2 linked regions of the Struthio camelus genome follow. The protein of the gene in region 1 purifies or fractionates together with the protein of each later gene. This does not show direct contact. Links are inferred from orthologs where the notes say so. Each region holds a gene or a part of one and is shown on either strand. Other genes may lie near its edges. The genes, in order: STAT1 and PIAS1.

Region 1 (3,916 bases):
ATAAAATAGAATGAGAAAATGTTGAAAATTACATTCTTGGATACTGACAGAAAAGATGAAACATGTGCTTTCAAGTGCTTTCACCATGTTTTGCAGCTGCAAAGTCAAAAACAACAGGAAAAAAAAATCACTAAGTGCTTTGTGTTTGACCACATCACCATGATTCAAGTTAAACGAAAACTGCTAGTTACCATCAACTATAGCATTAAAAATCTGTACACAGTACTTGGTACGATTTAAGACTTCATATCATTTCCTCCATTTTGAGGAGAAAGGGATCCAAACTAAGCCAGAAAAAGGTCTGCGCCGCTGGAGACCGGCGCCACAGCCTGAGCTGCGGTTGTAACCGGTCAGAAACAAACGAGACCCGGCACGACCGGGGGGAGCAGTGCAGTCCTAACAGACAAAACGGCTCGCACAGAGAGGGGCACGAGGAAAGGAAAACTGCCAAAACAATTCATTGGGGGGGGGGGAGGGGGGGAGAGCGGGGAATCCCAACCGGCAACATATCCGGAAAGATTATAAACACTCTTTTGTTTGCAGCTCTCATTCTTAAAAGTCACTGCAACTTAGATAGGAAACTGGGCTGCAGTTCATAAACTGACTGCCTTTCTACCAGACCTGTGCCAGTTACGTTCGTTTCTTCCACGAAGAGACGGACGAGACCGTTGCCCTTCCGCCGGCTCGGCCGGCCGCCCGCCGCCGCCGCCGCTCCTTTCGCTTTCGCCTTCCCCTCAGCCGGCCCGTTCCCCGAAATCACGTGACGCGGCTGTTCCCGGGCCTCGCTGCCCCCCCCCGCCGCGGGGAGCCGCGCCTGCGCTCTGGCGCGCGCCCGGCCGGGGGCCGTTGGTAACGGCCGCCCTCTCCCCCCCCCCCCCCAAGGAGGCGGATGCACACGCGTTCCGTGTCGGAACTTGGGTCGGGGTCAGTTTTACACTCTTTCCTCCTAGGACAGGGGCTGTCTTTTCCTACAGCCTGTTACTCCCGACACCTAACCTTCCTTCCTGTTGGCCACCTTTCCTGCAGTATCATTTGCTTCTCTTCCCCGTGTTATATTTACTCATGCGGGTTTCCGTAGGCATCGCGCACCTTTTCGTTCCTTGCTCCTAGCTGGCATATTCTCTCACATATATCCAGCTACGCTTCTAAACTTTTTTTTTTGTGCTAATATTCTTTGCAAAAGCTAGAAATCAAGAAAAATGCAGGCCTGTGCCCTAGAATGACGTTGCGCGCGGTATTTCTGCTTCATCTACTATTGGCAACGTCATTGCTGCTCCATCACACAGCAAGCGGTCGAAACCTCGGCGCATTTGGTGTTTGGCCCGCAGATTGGGCATAGTTCTGCACAGGTAGTCGGCTGGCCAGGCACCCGGACGACAGCCGTCAGGGCGGCAGCGCCCGGCCCGGCCCAGGCCGGGGTGGCGGGGGAGCCGCCCCGGGACCGCCCTGCCTCCCCGCTGCGAGAGCGAGAGGGCAAGGGCAGGGGGCGGGGCGGGGCGAGCGCGGCGGCACCGCGAGCCCATTGGCCGGGGCGGCGAAAGCGAGGCTCCCATTGGCTCTCGGGCGGGCCGTGGGGCTGCGGCTTTGCGAGTATTTCTCGGTACGGGTGGCCGTCGCGGTGCAGAGCTGGAGCGCAGCCTCGTCTTCGAGTAAGTGTGCGCGTGCGGGCCAACGGCCGCGGGGGAGGGGGGTCGCGCGAGAAGGGGGCTACTGCCGCCGCTGCCCCCCGGCCCGCGGTGGGGGGGGGGGATGGAGGGGGGTGCAGGCTCCCAGCCAGCCGGGACGGCTGCCCTGCGCTCGGCCCCCCATCTGCGAGCGCCTGCTTCGCTGGCCGTCAGCCGGAGAGCCAGAAACGATACTAAACATGAGTTGTGACAAGGCGAGCGCGGCGCCCGGCGAGGAGGGGGCGAAGCCCTGTCGCCTCGCAGCGGGAGCGGGCGGCTGCCGGCGGGACACGAAGCCGCACACAGCGGCGGGGGCTGCCGGGGAGACAGGGCCCTGCTGCCCGCAGAGAGGCACGCCGGCTGCCCTTGGGTCACCCTGACCGCCCCGGGGGAGGTGAAGCAGCAAAGCAGCCTTTCCTCCCTGCCAGTTTGCCAGGGCCGGCCTGAGCCCCCCTGCCCTGCCCTGCCACGGGTCTCGCTAACCGTTTCTCCCCGAGCGGTACCGACTTCCTCCCCGCGTGAGCGTTTCCCTGCTCGCCTCTCCAAGGATCACGCCTGCTACGTGATCACGTTGCTCTGTAACCCCCAATTCAGAGGGTTCTCCGCCAGGCTTCCCAAGCCCCTGTCCAATGTGGTTGCTTTAAGACACAGGAGGATTAGAGTACCTTATAGCAGTATTTAAGCAGTGCTTTTAAAAAGAAAGAAAGAAAAAAAACTTTGTGCATTTGGATACCCCCTTCCAGCTTTCCTCACCAGTATCATGCTTTAATTGTTGGCCTTGGTGCCACTACAGTATATTCAAATTAACTACAGTATATTCAAACTAACTGCTGTGTTTTCTAGAGTTGGAATCTTGCCCACACCAAAAAGCCCCAAAGCCCTTACTTTAAACATCATAGCATTTTTTACCTTACACTTGCTCTCGCATAGGCTATATGCAACTCTACAGTTGAGGGATCTGGCATACAAACACTAATGGATTTGGCAACAGCCCATACACAAGGTACTGCTTCACCCCCGAGTGTACATTGTCCTTTGGATAAGTCTTATCACCTTTTTGAAGAGGTTGCAGATGCAAGCGGGGTTACATGTCTCCACCTGAGCCTGACAGCTATTCCCTGGACATATCTTTACCTGCCACTACTGCAAGACACTAACCTGCAGACCAGAAAGGAGGAGATAACTGCTTTCCAGCAAGAGTCCATACATCAGAGCTAACAGCCACTCTATAACAACTCTTAACTGCGCAGCATGGCTTCTCTCAGTCATACTAGTTAATTCTAGATAACCCATGTCTACTGCAGAGACTTGAATTTAGCCTGAAAATCTGATCATAACTACTAAAGCATAATACAAAGAGAATATCTTTCAAATACGTCTCCATTTAAAGCAACCTGAGGTCTAGGCCATTTTCAGAGCAGGTAGGTAGAGACACATGTAGTACCTGAAAGTGAGCCCCTAGAAGTTTCTTTACTTTTCCAGTTACTTCTTCCACCTCTGGGGATTGGCAGGGACAATATCTGCACAGATGAAAATGGGATCTTGATCCTACCGAGTACAGGTACAGGGCACATAGCTGCTCATACATATTTAGGGATATACCCCCTTAACAGGGGGTAAGGAAGAAAGAAAGAATAGAGAATAACACTACTAGTACCCTAAGTGCTGTGAACATGGATTCAAAGGAAAAAAGAAATGCAAGTTTCCATAAAACGTGATTGAACTTTGACTTACTTGTCATGAAATAGTATGGTGACTGTCTTAATTTGCTGTATTTTTTTTAAATTAAAATGGGCATGGAAAAATTGTATTCAGTTTGATGAGTAGCTTTCTCTTGTTACATCTAAAAACCTATGTTTTTACTGAAAACACTTTTCCTTCCTGCTCATCCAATTTTACCATTTTTAATGAGAACTTTAAATGAGTGACTTTTCACTAGCTAAGTCCAAATATTAATTATTTACATTGATTTATTTTTTTTCCCTAGGATGACTCAGTGGTATCAGCTGCAGCAACTTGATTCCAAGTTTTTGGAGCAAGTTCACCAGCTGTATGATGACAGCTTTCCTATGGAAATTAGACAGTACCTAGCTCAGTGGCTGGAAAACCAAGACTGGTAAGCCTGAAGGACAGTGGTGATGTGCATAGAAACTGGCCTTCAGGTTACATGACAAGCAGTGCTCTCATGCGGAGTCACAGGCAGCAAAAAAGTTCTGGGGAAGCAAGCTGCTAGGTAGACCTATGCTGGCAAG
Region 2 (3,916 bases), on another chromosome or scaffold:
TTTAGACTGCTTTCAGTGGTTGGGAAGTTGCAGAACCTCGATATGCCTAATTGGTTATGTTGGTCCTATATATACGCTTCAAATATGATGTTGAATTTGTTTTGGAATTGACTATAAAATATTCAGAGTTTTTTAAATGGTTTTGTGCAGAAGTCCTAGATAACCAGTTGTGGTAGTGGGTAGGGGGCGTTTTATTTTTCTTTGACTGCTTGGGAATCCAAAACTGTACAGAAAGATCACTTCAGCTGATGTCACAGGCCTTGCAATGTTAAAAAAAAAGTCCCTGTCAAGCACTGAAAGAAGCTTTAAAAGAGACACTAGGCTCCTAAGTTGAATTTTTGGCCGCTATTTGACCAGTGGGGAAGTACTTTAGCGCACGCGGATGATTGCTGGTTTCACTGCTTTGCCTAGTTTTGTTTCCTCAGTTCCTCAAGAAGTGAAACAGCCTAGATGTCTTACAGTGTGATTCATTAGGCCATATTGGGAGACAGACCGTGTAGAAACACGTGGTAACTAATGGAAGGCAAAGCCCAACTCCCCCATCCGCAACAGGACAAGCAGCTGTGAAGTGAGAGAAGAGGGATGAGTAAGGAAATTGCTTAATTTATATTGGAGATTGGATCTGAAGAAGTTTCCTTTAACCCAGTAATGATCATATGGACTTGCAAAAAATCAGATTACAATTTTTCTAAGTGTCTTTAACATCAGTCACTTCTCTGCCTTCCTTTGAACCTGTGCTGACTGATTAGTTACACTGCCTGGCAAAAAGTGAGAGAGGGACTTGAAAGTGAAGTAGGGTGTCAGAGTGAAGGGTTGCTGCAGTTTTTAAGTGCAAGTACTGGAGACTTGGGTATTGTCAATGTGTAACTTTTTATTCCTCTAGCTGGAAGTCATAAAGCTTGTTAAATGTTGTAGGTGTTAGGGGAGCAGTGATTAGAACATTGGTACATTAAAAGCCTTATGTCTTGTACTGGCAACTTGTCCTTGTCTCAAATTTTTACCTCAGAATTGCTGTCCTGAATTACCTATTGCAAAAGAAATTCCTTTAAAAAATTGCTGATTAGACTTTCAAAGTCAATATATCTATGTGTGAACAAGTCCTGTTTTATGTTGTATTTCAGATCATCAGTGGGAGAAGAGCAGTAATGGTATGCCTTTAAAAATTGTATGCTCACCAGGATTAAGCCACATTCTGATGTTAGTGTGTAAGATGATGTAACTTGAATACTAATTTTTTGTTTTGTTTCTTTTAAGCAAATGGTTATGAGCCTTAGAGTTTCTGAACTGCAAGTACTTCTGGGTTACGCGGGGAGGAACAAGCACGGACGAAAACACGAACTTCTCACAAAAGCACTGCATTTATTAAAGGCTGGCTGCAGTCCCGCTGTACAAATGAAAATCAAAGAACTCTATAGGCGAAGGTTCCCTCAGAAAATCATGACGCCTGCAGACTTATCTATCCCCAGTGTACACTCAAGTTCCATGCCAGCAACTTTGTCTCCGTCTACCATTCCACAGCTCAGCTATGATGGCCACCCCGCAACATCACCATTGCTTCCCGTTTCACTTCTGGGACCTAAACATGAACTGGAACTCCCCCATCTTACATCTGCGCTCCACCCTGTCCATCCCGACATCAAACTTCAGAAATTACCTTTTTATGACTTGTTGGATGAGCTGATAAAACCTACAAGTCTAGGTAAGGCTGCAAACGTTGTAATAACAATATTTGAAAACTTTTTAGGAGTAATGGATGAATTCAGCTGCTAGTGTACTATCTGGTTAAATATTGCATCACGCCACTGTTTAGAGAATTGCTATTTTTGGTAACTTTTGGAACAGATTGTTCTACAACACATGGAGAGACATCTTACGTAACGCTCATTAGTTGCTCTAGCTGAGCTACTAAGTATGGTTCAAAGTTCCATTATGTTTAAGGGGTGAGTTTGACAAGAAACAAACTAAACCTTGGAAAAAAGAGAACTTAAAGAAAATATGAACTACTGAAAGCAGGCAGTTAAACTAAAGAATGTAATTAAAAAAAAACCCCAAACCCTAAGTCCATCAAACCCAAGAAATCTAGTTGTCTGTGCTGTGAAAGAATGTCAGACTAGGTATTTGCTGTGATCCCTTATGGTTCTAACATCTGAGTTTAGGAACACTTGTGGTTCTTCTACTGTTTTGACTGTTTTGGTTTTTTTTTCCTTTTAAACTCTTGTATTAACCTATAAAACACTTGTGTAGCTGCTGAGAATATTCTGACGCTTACTGAGCGTTATATAACAATGTGTGATTTTTCTGGCTCTGACTCCGCATAACACTTAAGAGTGTGGTTAACTTTTAATACTCTTAAATACAATAGTGTGGTAGATTTCTGGAGGGACTGCTTGCATGTTGGAACGTTCTGCTGTTTTGAAACCCTGGAAAAGAATCACTTTGAGAATAGCTAGTAGGGGGAGGAGGGTATTTGTAAGGGCAGATATGGAGGGATGGTGGGTGAGTGAGTGAGGAGACTGTGCTTTGTGAAAGAGAACACTCCTAAACAGCAACGAGCAGGTAATTTCTATTAATAGACTAGTCTGCTACAGGGATGAAGGAGAGGCGTGTGAGTAGCGGTCTGTAAACTTCTGAAGTGTGATCACCTGCACAGTTGTTTGCATATTTTTTGTTTTAACCTGTTAAAGTTGAGACGTTGAGAGAGAGAGCAGTTGATAATCTCTGGAATAAAATGAAGTGTCGCTTATGGTTCAGATACTCTTTTAAGAGGTATACTATATATATTTAGCTTTAGTCTAAAATCTAATTAATTAATAAGCATTCCAGGCGGTGCTGGCGGTGCAGGATAACTGGGTAGTCAGAATGTGTCTAATCACTTTTATATTATAAATACTCCAAAAAATAATGGTATAATTTCAATAAGACATTCCAATGAAGGAGTTACAGTATGCATTTATTCCTAGAAATGGTAAGAACACTTTACTGTCAGCTTCATGCCTGACAAACCAGTCGTAAATTAAGAGATCATAATTCACACTCTGTCATGCCTTATTGCTTAAGGAGTTTATATACAATATGGTATTTTTCCCCTTTGTGGGCTCTCAGAATGTCAGGGTAGGAAAATGGAAGAAGCTGAAATTCCAGCCAAGTACCTTTCAAGCACTGTCTGTCCTTTAAATTAATAACTTATGGGTATGTTTTGTGTTTTGGTTTGCATCTGCATCCTGTGCTGCCTTTTTGCCTTGCTTATCTGAGGCAGTACTACTGAAAAGTTATTTTTCCTAAGCTTGTTGGGGAAGAGAGAGCTTCAGTGTCTATGTGAGAAACAGTTGTGTTGGTTGCTTTTGGTAGTGGTTAAGTAATGTTGTTGCAGATTATAAAATTGCTAACTACAAATGTCATGAGGATATTTTTAAGTAATTAATGTATATGCTAATCAAAAAACCCCATTGGATTAAAACCCAGTGATATACAGTTTTATACACTTTCAAAACAACTTAAAGCAATTTTGCATACAGGTCAGCAGTTTTAAACGTAAATAATGTGGACTTGTATCTCTAATTACAGAATGCAAAAAAAGCTTTGTTTAAATTTCTCCATATATACAGTTACTGATGTTTTAACTAAAAACAACATTGAAGGTTTTGCTGAACATTTGCCTCAAATGGTTGGGATATCCTCCTCACTGCTGCAAACAATGTGGGCTTGGCATTTAAATGTCAAACTTCTGAGTCCTCTGCCTTTGTTTTCAAATGGTTGATGCATAGTACAAACCTTCTGAACTTCTCCTTGGCATCTGGCCAGCACTTCAGGGTCTCCTGCTTGCTTTTTCTCCCCGGATTCCTCACAGGGGGATGCAAAACTGGTTTCACTCTCCTTCCCTCCACTACAAGAACAAATTGATGACCTGAGCTGGGAT

Evidence for each region.
Region 2: the proteins of STAT1 (region 1) and PIAS1 purify together in Homo sapiens (affinity purification with western blotting; 5 studies listed by BioGRID). This does not show direct contact. The link is inferred for Struthio camelus from reciprocal best matches to the Homo sapiens genes STAT1 and PIAS1.

The regions. Positions count from the first base shown.
Region 1 is NC_090947.1:14,437,878-14,441,793, forward strand, and holds the start of STAT1 (signal transducer and activator of transcription 1-alpha/beta), read left to right. Parts: upstream 1-1,467; 5' UTR 1,468-1,649; intron 1,650-2,594; exon of another isoform or gene 2,595-2,667; intron 2,668-3,651; 5' UTR 3,652-3,652; coding exon 3,653-3,780; intron 3,781-3,916. UniProt on the Homo sapiens protein: Signal transducer and transcription activator that mediates cellular responses to interferons (IFNs), cytokine KITLG/SCF and other cytokines and other growth factors.
Region 2 is NC_090953.1:2,280,598-2,284,513, reverse strand, and holds the start of PIAS1 (E3 SUMO-protein ligase PIAS1), read left to right. Parts: upstream 1-1,070; 5' UTR 1,071-1,085; coding exon 1,086-1,148; intron 1,149-1,254; coding exon 1,255-1,699; intron 1,700-3,916. UniProt on the Homo sapiens protein: Functions as an E3-type small ubiquitin-like modifier (SUMO) ligase, stabilizing the interaction between UBE2I and the substrate, and as a SUMO-tethering factor. Catalyzes sumoylation of various proteins, such as CEBPB, MRE11, MTA1, PTK2 and PML.